3 linked regions of the Macaca fascicularis genome follow. The protein of the gene in region 1 interacts with the protein of each later gene in a biochemical or structural test. Links are inferred from orthologs where the notes say so. Each region holds a gene or a part of one and is shown in the gene's direction. Other genes may lie near its edges.

Evidence for each region.
Region 2: the proteins of INSR (region 1) and PTPN11 form a complex in vitro, tested with the Homo sapiens proteins (2 studies listed by BioGRID). The link is inferred for Macaca fascicularis from reciprocal best matches to the Homo sapiens genes INSR and PTPN11.
Region 3: the proteins of INSR (region 1) and GRB10 form a complex in vitro, tested with the Homo sapiens proteins (5 studies listed by BioGRID and IntAct). The link is inferred for Macaca fascicularis from reciprocal best matches to the Homo sapiens genes INSR and GRB10.

What each region holds. Positions count from the first base shown.
Region 1 is NC_088393.1:8,021,968-8,027,526, reverse strand, and holds the start of INSR (insulin receptor), read left to right. Parts: upstream 1-1,968; 5' UTR 1,969-2,511; coding exon 2,512-2,611; intron 2,612-5,559. UniProt on the Homo sapiens protein: Receptor tyrosine kinase which mediates the pleiotropic actions of insulin.
Region 2 is NC_088385.1:119,339,917-119,345,301, forward strand, and holds the start of PTPN11 (tyrosine-protein phosphatase non-receptor type 11), read left to right. Parts: upstream 1-1,665; 5' UTR 1,666-1,872; coding exon 1,873-1,886; intron 1,887-5,385. UniProt on the Homo sapiens protein: Acts downstream of various receptor and cytoplasmic protein tyrosine kinases to participate in the signal transduction from the cell surface to the nucleus. Positively regulates MAPK signal transduction pathway. Dephosphorylates GAB1, ARHGAP35 and EGFR.
Region 3 is NC_088377.1:79,813,201-79,818,036, forward strand, and holds part of GRB10 (growth factor receptor-bound protein 10), read left to right. Parts: intron 1-863; coding exon 864-979; intron 980-1,976; coding exon 1,977-2,045; intron 2,046-3,754; coding exon 3,755-3,892; intron 3,893-4,836.

The sequences.
Region 1 (5,559 bases):
ACGTCCTCAGCAGACTCCTCCCTATGCACCTCCCACTCCCCTCAACTCATCACACACTCAGTTATTTTAAGGGCTCTCTCCCTGGCTCAGTTGTGAACTCCACAAGGAAATGGGTCATGTTTATTTTGCTCACTGAAAAATCCCCCTACTACTTATTGCTTGTTGATTCTCCCACTCAACAAATATTTATTAAGCAACAGATATGTCAGCCACTGGGTTTAAGCAGTGAAACAAGACCGAAAAGATTTTCACTTTCGGGGGAGGGGAGAAGACACAGAAAACGTTGAATAAGAATTTCAAGGCCAATCATGGTGGTGCATGCCTGTAATCCTAGCACCTTGGGAGGCCAAGGCAGGAGAATTGCTTGAGGCCAGGAGTTCAAGGCTGCAGTAAGCTAGGATTGCACCACTGCATTCCTGCCTGGGTGACAGCAAGATATTGTCAAAAGGAAAAAAAAGAAAAGAGAACATAGAATTGCAGGTAGAGAGGTAAGCATGCTATGAAAATGAAAGAGAAGGGGCTGGGCACAGTGGCTCAGGCCTGTCCCAGCACTTTGGGAGGCCAAGGCCGGTGGATCACCTGAGGTCAGGAGTTCGAGACCAAATACAAAAATTAGCCGGGTGTGGTGGTGCATGCCTGTAATCCCAGTTACTTGAGAGGTTGAGGCAAGAGAATCACTTGAACCCAGGCAGGGGAGGTTGCAGTGAACTGAGATCTGGCCATTGCACTCCAGCCTGGGCAACAGAGCAAAACTCCATGTAAAAAAAAAAGAGAGAGAGAGAGAGAAGGGAACAGGGAACTGGTGGGGAGGATTTGCAAAAGTGTGGTTAGGGATGGCTCCTTGGAGCAGAGATGAAGCCATCCTGCAGTGTTACAGGCAAGGGAGACGCTGGGGTAAAGGCCTGGAGGCAGGAATAGGTTTGGCCTGTTGCATGAACAGTGGGTCCAGCTCCTAGCAAACTATTTAATAAAAGAAGAATGAATGCCTTGGGTCTAGGGTTGTGCTGGGCGCTTTCTTAAGTTTTCTTTCCCGGGTACCTCCCCAGATCTGGCCTGCAGGTATTATCAAACCCATTACACAAGTGAAACTGGCCCAGACACAGTAAAGTAGCTGGCCCAAGACCATACAGGAGTGAGGGGTGGAGGAACCCTCTTCCCATTGAGTTCTGGCTTTCCTATACTGAGTAGGTGGAACTGCTGTCCCGCCTTGTTGGTGAATGTCGTTGCTAGACGTTCAGACACATACAGGCTGGTCTGCTGAAAATCTGAGATGCTGAAAATCTGAGATGTCCACCTGCGCCCTATTCGAGGTCTCCGGAGTCGTCTTTGGCCTCTTCTTTGCTCTTTCAGAAGCGTCTGCACATTTTTCCAGGTGTCATTTCTTTAACTTGAACACAGGGAGCGCACTGGGCGCGCGGGCACGTGGCTGTCCCCAGGGGCCTGGCTTGGGTCTCGCCCCTGGGCGGGGGCGCACGCGCGGGCGGGACATCTGGGGGCGCCCACGCGCTCTGGGACGAGTGTCGCTGGCCAGGCCCGGACTGGGGAAAGGCGAGTGAGACACTACTCGCCTGGGCTGCAAAATTTAAGGGAGTGAAAAAAAGAAAGAAAGAAAGAAACGAAAACCACCTCGAGTCACCAAAATAAACATTTTAATGCAGTGTTAAAAAAAAAAAATCAACAGGAATCCTCCAAAGCCCACTATGAACAAAATAGCAAAACGGTAGAGAAAGGACCTGTGCTGCTGGGTAGGGCCTGTGGGGCGCCTCCGGGGGTCTGAAACTGGAGGAGACTCGGGGCTGTAGGGCCCGCGGATCTGGGGCGCCCCCTCGGTCCCGGCGCGCCCAGGGCCTCCAGCGCGGGGCCCGGCACAGGAGGCGGGGAGGCAGGCGGGGAGGCGGGCGGGGCGGGGCCGGGCGGCACCTCCCTCTCCTGCCTGCTTTCCCTCCCTCTCCTGGGCCTCTCCCGGGCGCAGAGTCCCTTCCTAGGCCAGATCCGCGCCGCCTTTTCCCGCGGCCCGCACCGGGCCCAGCTGACGGGCCGCGTTGTTTACGGGCCCGAGCAGCCCTCGCTCCCGCCGCCCGCCCGCCACCCGCCAGCCCAGGTGCCCGCCCGCCCGTCAGCTTGTCCGTTGGTCCGCGCGTCCCTCTGTCCCGGAGCCCGCAGGTCGCGACCCAGAGCGCGCGGGGCCGAGAGCCGAGAGACAGTCTGGGGCGCAGCGCCGAGCTCCCCGCCCCGACATCGTGGGACGGGGCCCGGGCCGCAGCGGCCGGGGGTCGGGGCCGCCACCGCCAGGGCCTCCGCTCCCTATTTGTAGCGGGCGAAGCCGCGCGCCTCCTTCCCGGGGCTGTCTCTAGGGCCCTCCCGGGCAGCGGGGCTGCGGCCCGCGGGTCGCCGGCGTGGAAGAGAAGGACGCGCGGCCCCCAGCGCCTCTCGGACGGCCGCCTCAGAGCATGACCCCCGCGGGCCAGCGCCGCGCGCTCTGATCCGAGGAGACCCCGCGCTCCCGCAGCCATGGGCACCGGGGGCCGGCGGGGGACAGCTGCCGCGCCGCTGCTGGTGGCGGTGGCCGCGCTGCTACTGGGCGCCGCGGGCCACCTGTACCCCGGAGAGGGTGAGTCTGGGGGCGCGGGCGTGGACGGGGAGCGCCGCGATGGGGAGAGGACCCCACCCGAGCCAAAATCGAGCCCCGGCTTGTGGACTGAGAACCCTCCCCGGGGGCGGGGGGCGGTGGCCGGGACTGTAGCTCCTGCCTCGCGTGGTGGGGGTGTGGGCGGGAAGCCGCTGACCTTGGCCTTTGCCCGCCCGGGCTCGCGCCTCCGCGCCCCGCGTGCCCGACCTGAGCCCGAGGAACCTTGCCCCAGTGCCCGCCCCGCCGCGGGCGCCTCTCTGGAGCGCGCCTCCGACCCGTGCCCCAGCCCCTCCGAGCCCAAGTCGCTCCGGAGACACGACATGCGTCGTCTTTGGGTCGCGGCCGGGAAGTGGGGTCACTGGGTCTGGAGAGCCCCGGACAGCCAAGTCCCCCGAGCGCATATGGTGTAGGTAGAGCCAATCGCCCCGCGTGCCTCACCGGTGGGTGACGCTGCCTGGGGTCGGGGACTGCAGAAACCCCCTCTACCCAGCTACCTTGGATTTAGGCCCGTGGCCACCCCGGACTCTAGGTCCACGTTTACCCTTTTGGGTTCTGTTTCCAGATGTCTGGAGGCAAATTCTAAAGCCTTAGCAACAGCAGCAATTGTAGCAGAAGTAGTGGCGGTTTTTTACCCTATTTATTGTAATTAGTATCACCGCACGCCACAGGCTGGTCTATCTTATCTCTCTGGACTGTCACAGTGGCCCCGGGAGGCGGATACAGTTCTGTACCCATTTCACAGAGGAGTAAACTAAGGCTCAGGTAGGATGCATAACTCCCTTGCCCTAAAGTCAGTGCCAGAGCCAGGACTTGAACCTCTCTGTGTCCCATTCTGCACAAGAATCTGGACTACTGTCCCTTGTCTGCTGTCTCCTTGACTCCTCCTCTCCCCTCAGCCCTGCCCTTCATGAAGGAGCCTTTGACCTTGAGTGAGCCTTTCCTTCCCCCTGACCCCATGGGCCCCTCTCCCACGTGTGGGTAGCATCTTCCTTGGGCTTGACAGCAGGCACCTTTGGGGTTGTAAGATAAAGATGGCGCAATCATTTAAGACAATATAGCCTGAGTGTCCCACTGTGGGGTCTGAGGCCCTGCTTTAAACATATCTGTTGGGTTACTGTTTCAGATTTCTCCATAAAAGGAAATCAGTGGTAATGAGGAAGGGGTCAGGGAGGGAAGGAATTGAAGCTCCTAAATTTATTGATGGGGAACCGGGTACATGTAAAATCAGAGGTGCTAGAGTGGACCAACCGGGTGTGCTGAGTCGACTCTGTGAATTACATAATGTTTAAAAGCCCTGCGGCCACCCCGCCCCCAGGTGCTTGGTAGACAGTAGGTGCTCAATGAAGGGTGGCGTTTAATTTGGGTTGTTGTTAAGAAAATCCGGCTGGCTGTTGTGACTCACGCCTGTAATCCCAGCACTTTGGGAGGCTGAGGCGGGCGGATCAGGAGGTCAGGAGATCGAGACCATACTAGCCAACATAGTGAAACTCCCTTCTCTGCTCAAAATACAAAAATTAGCGGGATGTGGTGGTATGCACCTGTAATCCCAGCTACTTGGGAGGCTGAGGCAGGATAATTGCTTGAACTGGGGAGGAGGAGGTTGCAGTGAGCTGAGATGGCACCTCTGCACTCCAGCCTGGCGACAGAGTGAGAGTTTGTCTTAAAAAAAAAATCCAAGACGAGTGGTTTAGAACTATGCCAGATTCTGTGTGTGCGTTTGTGTGGTTCCCTGCTCTTCTGTTCCTTGTAGCTTTGGTAATTAATCGTGGATCTGTGCCTGGACTTTCAGGGTCAGTAAATAGATTTACCATTTCTTTTCACATTTATGGCTTCCATATGGGCAGGGGTTTATGGTTTGTTGTTGATGTTGTTCACCACTGTATTTTTAGACCCCAGAACGGTGCCTGGCACATAGTAGGTGTTCAGTAAATATTTGTTCTGCAGTGGGGCACAGAAACCCTGGGTGTACTGGGCTCCTTTATCATCTTAAGAAGTTCTTTATTCTCTGCGTAATACCTTCCTAAGAATTGTAAGAGCAAGCTCTCAGCAGGTGCTGTTCTATTCGCTTTGCATATATAATCTCAGTTAATCCTCACGGCAAAACCCCACACGAGGTGTGATTTAATCGTCCCTTTTCACAAGTGAGAAAACTTCGTTTGAGGCCAGCAGGCAGCAGGGCTGAGATTGGAATCTAGCTAGTGTGGCTGCAGAGCAATGGTTTCTTAACAAATCTTTGTTCTTTTGAGTCTGAGCCTCCATACCCCCCATGTTTGGGGTAATGGTGAACAAAATCCTATCAAATAAATGGGCTGTGATGCCTCTTGAAGGCGTGGGGAGGGGCAAAGAGCTTTTCAGATCATTAGATCATTAATCTCTAATGTCAACCAATGTGGCTTTTTTTTTTTTTTTTTTGAGACGGAGTCTTGCTCTGTCACCCAGGCTGGAGTGCAGTGGCACGATCTCGGCTCACTGCAACCTCCACCTCCCAGGTTCAAGGGATTCTCCTGCCTCAGCCTCCCCAGTAGCTGGGATTACAGGTGTGTTTCACAACACCGGCTAATTTTTTATATTTTTAGTAGAGACAGGGTTTCACCGTGTTAGCCAGGACGGTCTCAATCTCCTGACCTCATGATCCACCCGCCTCAGCCTCCCAAAGTGCTTGGATTACAGGCATGAGCCACTCCGCCCGGCCTTTTTTTTTTTTTTTTTTTGAGACAGGGTCTCACTCTGTCACCCAGGCTGGAATGCAGTGACACGATCTTTACTCACTGCCCACTGCAACCTCCACCTTTCAGGTTCACGTGCATCTCCTGCCTCAGCCTCCTGAGTAGCTGCGATTACAGGCATCCATCACCACCCTCGGCTAATTTTTGTATTTTTAGTAGAGATGGGGTTTCGCCATATTGGTTAGGCTGGTCTCAAACTTCTGA
Region 2 (5,385 bases), on another chromosome or scaffold:
GGGACTACAGGTGTGCGCCACCAACCCCGACTAATCTTTGTATTTTTAGTTGAGATGGGGTTTCACCATGTTGGCCAGGCTGGTCTTGAACTCCTGACCTCAGATGATCCACCCACCTTGGCCTCCCAAAGTCCTGGGATTACAGGTGTGAGCCACCACACCCAGCTAGATCTGTAGCCTTCAATGAGTTATATGGGCATCAATCAAGTAAAAAAACTCTACTCTTCTCAATCTGGTCTGAGTCACCATTATTCCCAGACCAGAATACTACAGTATTCCCGTATTTTGACTGGCTTCTCCGTTTCTGGCCTTGCCCTCTTCCTCGAGCTTCACAGTGTCCAAAATAATACTTCCCCACCACCCAGCTTTTTCGTTTGTTTGTTTTTTGTTTTAGAGACAGGGTCGTGCCATGTTGCCCCGGCTGATCTTGAACTCCTAGGCTCAAGCAATCCTCCTGCCTCGGCCTCCCAAAGTGCTGGGATGAAGGTGTGAGCCACCATACCTGGCCTGAGTGCAGTGGCCTGATCTCGGCTCACAGCAGCCTCGACCCTCCAGGCTCAAGCAATTCTCTCACCTCAGCCTCCCGAGTAGCTGGGACTACAGGCGCGTGCCACCACGCCCGGCTAATTTTTGTATTTTTTGTAGAGATGGGATTTCACTATTTTGCCGGGGCTGGTTCCCAACTCCTGGACTCAAGCGATTCGCCCGCCTCAGCCTCCCAAAGGGAAGTGCTGGGATTTCAGGCGTGTGCCACTGCTCCCACCCCAAAGTAGTATTTGTTATTATTATTATCGAGACGGAGTTTGGCTCTATTGCAGGCTGGAGCGCAGTGGTGCGACCTCGGCTCACCGCAACCTCTGCCTCCCAGGTTCAAGCGATTCTCCTGCCTCAGCCTCCCAAGTAGCTGAGATTACAGGCGAACGCCACCACGTCCAGCTCATTTTTGAATTTTTAGTGGAGACCATGTTGGCCAGGATGGTCTCGATCTCTTGACCTCGTGATCCGCCCGCCTCGGCCTCCCAAAGTGCTGGGATTACGGGCGTGAGCCACCGCGCCCGGTCTATTACTAGTTTTTTTAGGCAGTGTCTTGCTGTCGCCCAGGCTGGAGGGCAGTGGCGTGATCACGACTCACTGCAGCACCGACTTCCCGGGCTTAAGTTATCCTCCCGCCGCAGCCTCCACGCCTGGCTAGGGTTTTGCATTTTTTGTAGAGATGAGGTCTTTTTTGCCCAGGCTGGCCTCTAGCTCCTAGGCTTAAGCGACACTCTTGCTGCAGCCTCCTAAATTGTTGGGGTTACGGGCGTGAGCCACCGCGCCCAGCCTAATGGAGGAAACTGAGGCTCGGAGACAGTAGGTAATTCCCCAAGGTTCCACAGCTAATGAGTCGAGTGGCGATTTGTGGAACGAAATGAATGAAATCGATGTGGCAGTGGGCCCGGACGCGCCCGGTCGGTGGAGTGGCGTAGCCGCCGAGCGCGCAGCTCACACCCGGCGGCCGCGATTTCCGGGAGGAAGCAAGGATGCTTTGGACGCTGCGCTTAGCGCCTCCGCGGAACCCCCGCGCTGCCATTCCCGGCCGTGGCTCCGTCCTCGGCTAACGGGAAGCAGGAAGTGGCGGCGGGCGTCGCTAGCGGTGACATCACGGGGGCGACGGCGGCGAAGGGCGGGGGCGGAGGAGGAGCGAGCCGGGCCGGGGGGCGGCTGCACAGTCTCCGGGATCCCCAGGCCTGGAGGGGGGTCTGTGCGCGGCCGGCTGGCTCTGCCCCGCGTCCGGTCCCGAGCGGGCCTCCCTCGGGCCAGCCCGATGTGACCGAGCCTAGTGGAGCTTGAGCAAGGAGCGGGTCCGTCGCGGAGCCGGAGGGCGGGAGGAACATGACATCGCGGAGGTGAGGAGCCCCGAGGGGCCCGGCCCGGGCCTCGGCCCGGCCCCCGCCGCATTCGGTCAGCCCCGTCCGGAAGGGGGCGCCCCGGCCGGGCTTCGGGCTCCCGCCCCGGATCGGGATTGGGGGCCAGTTCCCTCCTCGTCCCCTGTCCCTCCTCGGCCCGGGGGCCGGCCCCACCGCGCCCCCACCCCTTGGGTCCCCATTCATTTCCTGCCTCCCTGAGTTCCGGCTGCGGCAGCCCGGGGGATGCCCGTCAGGCCTGGGGCAGGTAGAGCCGCCTAGGGAACCACGGGCGCCAGCGGCCCGGCTCAGCGCCGCATTCCTGACCCATTGCCTCATGAGAATTGCCTCATGGTGATTCCGAAATAACCCTGCTCACTTGGGGAGGCTCCTTGGGACACGAGATGGGAGTTGCGCGGGGCCGGGCCCCCAGTGGTCTAGTCGTTCTGGGTCACTGTGCCACTTGCGTGCATTTGGGGTCTTAACGAAGGACCCCTGACCCTTTTATGTGCCCCTTTGTGTCTTCTTTTTCTCCCACCCCTCACGTGCCAGAAATGGAAAAACTGACTGTATCTGCAGCCACTAGAAGTATTTCCTTCCTCTGCGATATTCGCTTTGGGAGATGGAAAGGAAGGGAGCCGCATCTCGTTATTTAATCCTTCACTGCAACCTTAACAGTCAGGTCACTTTACTGGTACCCGTTTTATGGATGAGGAAACCGAGGCCCAGAAGCAACATGCTAGTAAATGACAAGATTTGAAACTAAGGAGAATTAGTGAGTTAATGAGATCCTTTGAAAGATCAGGGTAATATTACTACTAATAGCTAACATTTGCTTAGTTCTGACGACAGCCCTCTCAGATGGCTACTATTATCCCCATTGTAAAGATGAGTAAACCGAGTTTCGGAGAGGTTAAGTAGATTGCTTAACCTCACAGCTAGTAGGTGGTGGAGACAGAATCCCTACTTTTAATCACTATGTTGCTTCTATTATTTTGTAACTATTGCTAACCACTTGTAAGCCTTAATTTTGTTGTCAAACAGTAGTGTGACTTGTTTTCAGATAATGATCCTGCTATTTTATATAATCACTCTATATACCACTCACACTTAAGACCCATTGTCTATTCTTTTCCATGGTTGTTCAATTATGGTCACTGTCTCAGACATTTAAAAAACGATTCAAGCTATTGAGGCTATTTGAATGAGATTTTTTTTTCTTTCTTTTTTTTTCTCTTTTTTTGAGACGGAGTCTCACTCTGTTAACAGCCCAGGCTGGAGTGCAGTGGCACGATCTCGGCTCACCACAACCTCCGCCTCCTAGGTTCAAGCGATTCTCCTGCCTCAACCTCCCAAGTAGCTGGGACTATCGGCATGCCACTATGCCTGGCTAATTTTTTTTTTTTTTTTTTTTTTTTTTTTTTTTTTTTTTTTTTTGAGACGGAGTCATGCTCTGTCGCCCAGGCTGGAGTGCAGTGGCCGGATCTCAGCTCACTGCAAGCTCCGCCTCCCGGGTTCACGCCATTCTCCTGCCTCAGCCTCCCAAGTAGCTGGGACTACAGGCGCCCGCCACTTCGCCCTGCTAGTTTTTTGTATTTTTTAGTAGAGACGGGGTTTCACCGTGTTAGCCAGGATGGTCTCCATCTCCTGACCTCGTGATTCGCCCGTCTCGGCCTCCCAAAGTGCTGGGATTACAGGCTTGAGCCACTGCGCCCGGCCTAATTTTTTTTTTTGAAACAGAGTCTCGCTCTCTTGCCCAGGCTGGAGTGCCGTGGCGCAATCTCGGCTCACTACAAGCTCCGCCTTCTGGGTTCAAGCCATCCTCCTGCCTCAGCCTCTCAAGTAGCTGGGACTACAGGTGCCCGCCACGACGTCTGGCGAATGTTTTGTATTTTTAGTAGAGACGGGGTTTCACCATGTTAGCCGGGATGGTCTCGATCTCCTGACCTTGTGATCCGCCCGCCTCGGCCTCCCAAAGTGCTGGAATTACAAGCATGAGCCACCGTGCCCGGCCGAGTTTTGTATTTTTAGTAGAGACGGGGTTTCACTATGTTGGCCAGATTGGTCTTAAACTCCTGACCTCGAGATCCGCCTGCCTCGGCCTCCCAAAGTGCTGGAATTACAGGCGTGAGCCACCGCACCCGGCCTGAATGAGATTTTTCAAAATATTAGGAATGTCTCCTCCAAACAGACCTGGCATGTTATTCTTACATGGATCTGGAATTTAAAAAGGGGAGAAAAAAGAAAACAGAACTCGTAGGAAGTGAGTGACTTGGACAGGTCTGTTGGCAAGTGCTTGCGGATCTGGGTAATATATAACTGCATTTCAACGGAACAGTGTATAGCCTCAAATGTTCTAATTCTTTAGGGAGCTTTTAAATAAACAGTTGTCTATTCTTTAATCTGTCTAATAGTCATTGAGCCTTTTGTTCCTGGTGTCTGCTCTTCCAGACAAGTAAGGATTTGCTGCTTTAGGGGGCTGAGGGTTGGGAAAAGATCTGTGTAGTATTAGACCCTACATTGTCCAGTTTGTTAGTTTAGAAGCATGGAAGTGTGGGCATAGTCAAAGCAGCAAGTGGTAAAGATGACAGTTTGAAATGGAGTTGTTCCTTTTCCCCTCCAGCCCTGGTATTGTGTACCACCCAAAAAGCCAGATTATGAACATAATACACAGAATTTTGAATGATTTATCATTTTTTAGATTATAAGTCTGTTTTATTAACCAGCCTTACTGAGCTATAAATGACATGCAATTAAATGCATATATTTAAATGTACAATTTGATCAGTTTTGACATACATATACACTTGGGAAACCACCACCACAGTCAAGATAATGAACACATCTATTGTCCCTCGTAATTTTGCCTCATGTTTTTTGTAATCCCTCGTTTGTTCTTAGCCACTGTTCTGCTTTCTGTCACTATATATTAGTTTATATCTCCTAAAATTTTTTTGTTTTTTTAAAATTTTTAAATTGTTTGAATAGAGATGGGGTCTCACTGTGTTGCCCAGGGCAGTCTCAAACCCCTGGGTTCAAGCGATCCTCTCACCTTGGCCTACTGCAGTGTTGGGATTATAGGCGTGAGACACCCTGCCCAGCCCTAGAATTTTATTATTATTGTTATTATTATGTTTTTTTGAGATAGAGTCTCGCTTTGTTGCCCAGGCTGGAGTGCAGTGGTGCGATCACTGCAGCCTTGTTTTCCTAGGCTCAATCCATCCTTCCTCCTCAGCTTGCCGATTACTGGGACTACAAGTGTGCACCACCACACTCGGCTAATTTTTGAATTTTTTTGTAGAGACAGAGTTTTGCCAGGTTGGCTAGACTGGTCTCAAACTCCTGGGCTCAAACGATCTTCCTGCCTTGGCCTCCCAAAGTGCTGGGATTACAGGCATGATCCACTGTGTCTGGCCTTCAAATTACTTTAACCTAGTATTAATTCATTCAACAGGAAGTTAATGAGCCAGGCAGGATAAAGCAGTAAGATAGGAAAATATTG
Region 3 (4,836 bases), on another chromosome or scaffold:
CAGTTGACAAGAACTATTCCATGATGTGGTGCGTGCAGGCTTCAGTGTGAAAGGTGAGTATGTACGTACCGTCTCGCTGTGCATCACGGCCCCTCCCACAGTACACAGCACCATCGTTTCTGGCAACCAAGTTTGATGTCATTAGAAAGCTTGCATCTCGGCCGGGCACGGTGGCTCATGCCTGTAATCCCAGCACTTTGGGAGGCCAAGGCGGGCAGATCACGAGGTCAGGAGATTGAGACTGTCGTGGCTAGCATGGTGAAACCCCGTCTCTACTGAAAATACAGAAAAATTGGCCAGGCGTGGTGGCAGGCGCCTGTAGTCCCAACTACTCAGGAGGCTGAGGCAGGAGAATGGCGTGAACCCGGGAGGCAGAGCTCGCAGTGAGCTGAGATTGCGCCACTGCGCTCCAGCCTGGGCGACAGAGCGAGACTCTGTCTCAAAAAAAAAAAAAAAAAAGCTTCCATCTCTGGGCCCTCTTTGGTCATCCTCCCCTTTCAAGTTCTTTCTCCTTTGTTTCTTGTTGTAGTCTTTTATTTACAAGAATTGAAATTTATTAATTTAAGGGCAAAATCATTTGCTGAGAGTATTATGGACTCATTCCTTAACATCTGGTTGATGCCAAATTCAAAAGAAGTATATAAAAATAAGTATTGACCTGAATTCCTCATGCTGTGTATCTTAAGACCTCTTATGAATTTGGTAGTACATAAAAGAGAGATTTAAATTTAGTTTCCTTCCTGACCTCGTCTCTATTCATAATGTTTAAAGAATAGAAAGTTGAACAAATCTTGCATTTGGTTGTAAAGCTACCATGAATTTCCCACCTGTTGCATCTCACATGTGATACTTTGCCCCTGCAGAGAGGTGCTTGGAAGACCACGAGCTGGTGGTCCAAGTGGAGAGTACCATGGCCGGTGAGAGTAAATTTCTATTCCGGAAGAATTATGCAAAATACGAGTTCTTTAAAAATCCCATGGTGAGTCTTACGTCTTCAGGTTTGGGGTTTGGGACTCTTGACATCTGGAAGTTTATACTTGGGTTTCATAGTATCAGATTAGAAAGTGACTGAGAGGCACGACGTAGCATATCGGTTTGAGAGTCAGAGTTGCAGTTTAATGAAGCAATCCTTGCTTGAAACCCAGTCTCGTGCTTCACTAAATGTGCCTGGGACTGGCTGAAGATAGAGGTCTCCTTCTTCAAATAGACACAGTGTAAAGGGGGTTAGTCTCTAAGACAGGAGCTGGGGGAGACTGGGCGTTTTCTGTTATTTTGAAAGTTCTCAGTTAAACTGATCAAACACTTAGCAGAAGAAAAACTCATTATTCTCTGCACACAGCAAACACATTTTGTGATCATACGTGGAAGAATGACTAGAGAAATCAGTGCGATTGGTGGTGTCTTGAGCTGGTCACCTTGATCTCTCTTCCCCTTTCTTTCTTTGGGAAAGAAGGCACTTGTCCTGTGAGAGGCCGGGATAGGGAGGGCACCTCCTAGCTCCTGGGGTACTTACTGTCGTCCTGAGTCATGGGGCAGAGCTGTGTCAGCTGGGGAGAAGACCCAGGGTCATTTCTGACTCTGATAATTTAGCTGCTTTTTTATTCCAGAGTGAGAAATTTGAAGACTGTTTTTGGGGAATGCAACAGAAAAGGCTTTTCTCGTGACTGGGCTTACCTTTTAGTTTCAGGAATTCTTTATCTCACTCTTTGCCATGGAGTATGCTGTGAGACATGCATCCCTTAGTAAACATAGGTGGTATTCCATACTCGTACCCAACATTTCAGGAAATGAAATACAACCTTTTGAAGGAGCTATTTCTTCTGTGTGATAGGAGAATAAAAAGGACTGCCATTTTAAATACAGGTGTACATAATTATATTGGTAGGAATAGTTTTAAAATTTACTTATCTATATGACATACCTTCCCTCACTTTGAAACTAACCTTTCACGTATTTGTTTTTTCCCATTTTCTTAGAATTTCTTCCCAGAACAGATGGTTACTTGGTGCCAGCAGTCAAATGGCAGTCAAAGCCAGCTTTTGCAGGTACTGGGCCAAAATAGACCTCTGCTGAAATAGACTTTCTGAATAGAAATCCTCTTGGAACTGAATGGCAACATTGTAAAAAACCTGAAGAGATTGCATCTTTCATCATTTATAACTTTGGCCCTTAAGGGGGTTTAGAGTAACCAGAAATTAAAAAGTTTACTTGGAAAATCTGTGTGTAGCTGGATTCCTGCTGAGCCAAACAGGCACTTACACACAGAATGCCCTTGCTCTGACTTAGAAGAGTCCAGTGATGCCACTGCTGAGTGTGGCCCGGGGGGTGCATGGAGAAACCCCAGTTTCAGGGCTCCCCAGCTCCTTTCTGAGCAGGGGTCCCAGGTCAGGCCACCGCCCAGCTGCTTGGAAATCTCTGCAGAAGCGCTGAGTCTATAGTAAAAGATGATTGGGTTACCACGACAGACTTTTACAAGTAACTTGCCATACATTACAAATAAAGAAACCTGCTTTAATTGTCCTAAAGTCTGTTCTGAGAAAATCTGGTCTCTCCCCACCTCCTCTTCCAGTGGAGGGAGCCACCAGGGCCTCTGTGCTCAGCTGTCACACACGCTCCTCCAGGGAAGCTGGGAGCGGGGAATGGGAATGTTACAGCTACACCCTAAAAATATGCCTGTGTACATGTCAAAAGTGAAAGAATGAATCATTTCCTAAGGCCACCAACAATATCCAAGTGACATATTACATGTAACAGAAACTACTAAAATATAGTTCCTACAGAATTCTGCTCATAAGCCCTTCTTTTGCTATGTTGTTATCACCAAATTTGTTTCAGCATCTAAAAGATAAGAGCTTCAGAGCTCTGTTCCGGTGGTGTCTTCAGAAGCCCTTCTGACCATAGCATGTGTCTGTTCTGGTGAGAGGTGTCAGTGCTAAGGTACCACCTGTACACCGTGAACAGTGAAATGGCACATTCTGTTTTAACTTGCCTTGACTTTGGGAGGACTCATGTGCTTTGTGAAGATATGCTGTGGTCTCTTGAGACTCAGGAAGGACTGACCCAGGTGCACTAGGGCTCTGTCCGACGTGCCTTTCCCACCTGGGGGAAAAGAGCTTTGTCCCCTCCCAGTCTAGTAGCAAGACCTGCCAACATCACCTCCCCAACTTTGCTCCGTGACCTGGCCCTCGGCCTGTCTTCCCTTTGATGAAAAGCATAGTTTCTTGTTTTGTTTTGTTTTGTTTTGATAAAGGCTTTATTCTTAAGGCTGCCTGTGGGAAAAGTTAAGTGGAACAGGGGGACATCACCAGGATGTCCTGCACCTGGGTTCATCACTTGCAGACAAATGACACCTTTTATGTGACCCTTGACTGGAGGGGTGCCTGGGTAAAAGTGGCCACTACATGCTCACTCTCAGTCCCCAGAGCCCCACTCACTCAGTCATGGCACTTGCTCTTGCCCTCAGTCTGATATCAGACTGGATCCTTCAGTGCACTCTCTTACAGGGAAATTCGTGACTTGTGTTATCACCAGTGTTAGAAAGGTCCATTTGCTTGCATGTGTTTAAATACGAATTATGTTCTATGCAGCACCAATTGAGATGGGATTTTAAGACTTTGGAAAGGAGAACACGCTCAGTTTGATCAAAAAAAGGAGTCTTTTAATAATTCAGAAAATGTCAGTTATGCTAATAACATGTCTGCTTTAATTATTTTAGATTAGCATTATGTAATTTTTAAAATTTGTTCTTCAACAGAATTTTCTGAACTCCAGTAGCTGTCCTGAAATTCAAGGGTTTTTGCATGTGAAAGAGCTGGGAAAGAAATCATGGAAAAAGCTGTATGTGTGTTTGCGGAGATCTGGCCTTTATTGCTCCACCAAGGGAACTTCAAAGGTGAGCTTTAAAACCTGCCACCACCAGCCCTGATTCTGCCCCCGTCACTGCCCCCGGGAGTCCTCAGAGTAAACCTAGGCTTCATTTTTAAATGCACCTTAGACTCCTCCAGGCTCAGGACAACTTCTTAATAAGCTAATTGTGCAACAGCTAAACTTGGAGTCACAGGTTTCCTGGTCTCCCTCAGAAACTAGGTAATAAATAATACATACCTAAGAACCCCACCTGCCCAGCCCCACCCCCACTGTGGGTTGGTAGCAGACCTCCCTGGCTGCCCTATCACTTCAGAGACTGGCCTAGTTCCCATAAGTTGGGATTTAAGCTAGCTGTAAAGATGTTTGATAGATGATTGCCACCCTAATGCCAGTGTAACTTTATGTATCAGATATTTTATGAAATAAATTTCAGGTTTGCATGTATCCGTAGTGAGAAGAAGGTGGGAGATGGAAAACAGCTGCAGGCCCTCAAAAGACAGCTGGTAGCACTGAGGGCTTAGGCTGGAGGCTCCTTCGCTCCCATGTACACTCTTGCCTGCTCTCTTCTCGTGCTGTCCACATACACCCTGTGGCAGGAGCCATGTCCATTCAACGTGGCTGAGCACTTACCATCTGAGGGCTACGGTCTCTTTTACTCTGGCCAGCAAAGGGGAAAGGGAGCTGGCGGGACCCTGGCACAGGTGTTGAGCATCAGGCCAACTCTGGGAAGTCAGCGGCTGCTGACGCATGGGCCAGAGAGAAGGGGGGTCATCTGCAGAGAGGGGCTTTGGTCTGACACAGGGCATGGTAGCGTCCTGACCTCTCAGCTGTGCTGTGTGGCCTGCTCAGAGTCCTCGTGTGTGCTGAAGTCGGGAGATTATTTCCTAGAGCAGGAAACAGAGCTAGGCTGGAGAGTTGAGGAGGAGAAGGGTGGGACAAGCTACCAGTGGGAAAACCCAGGGTACGATT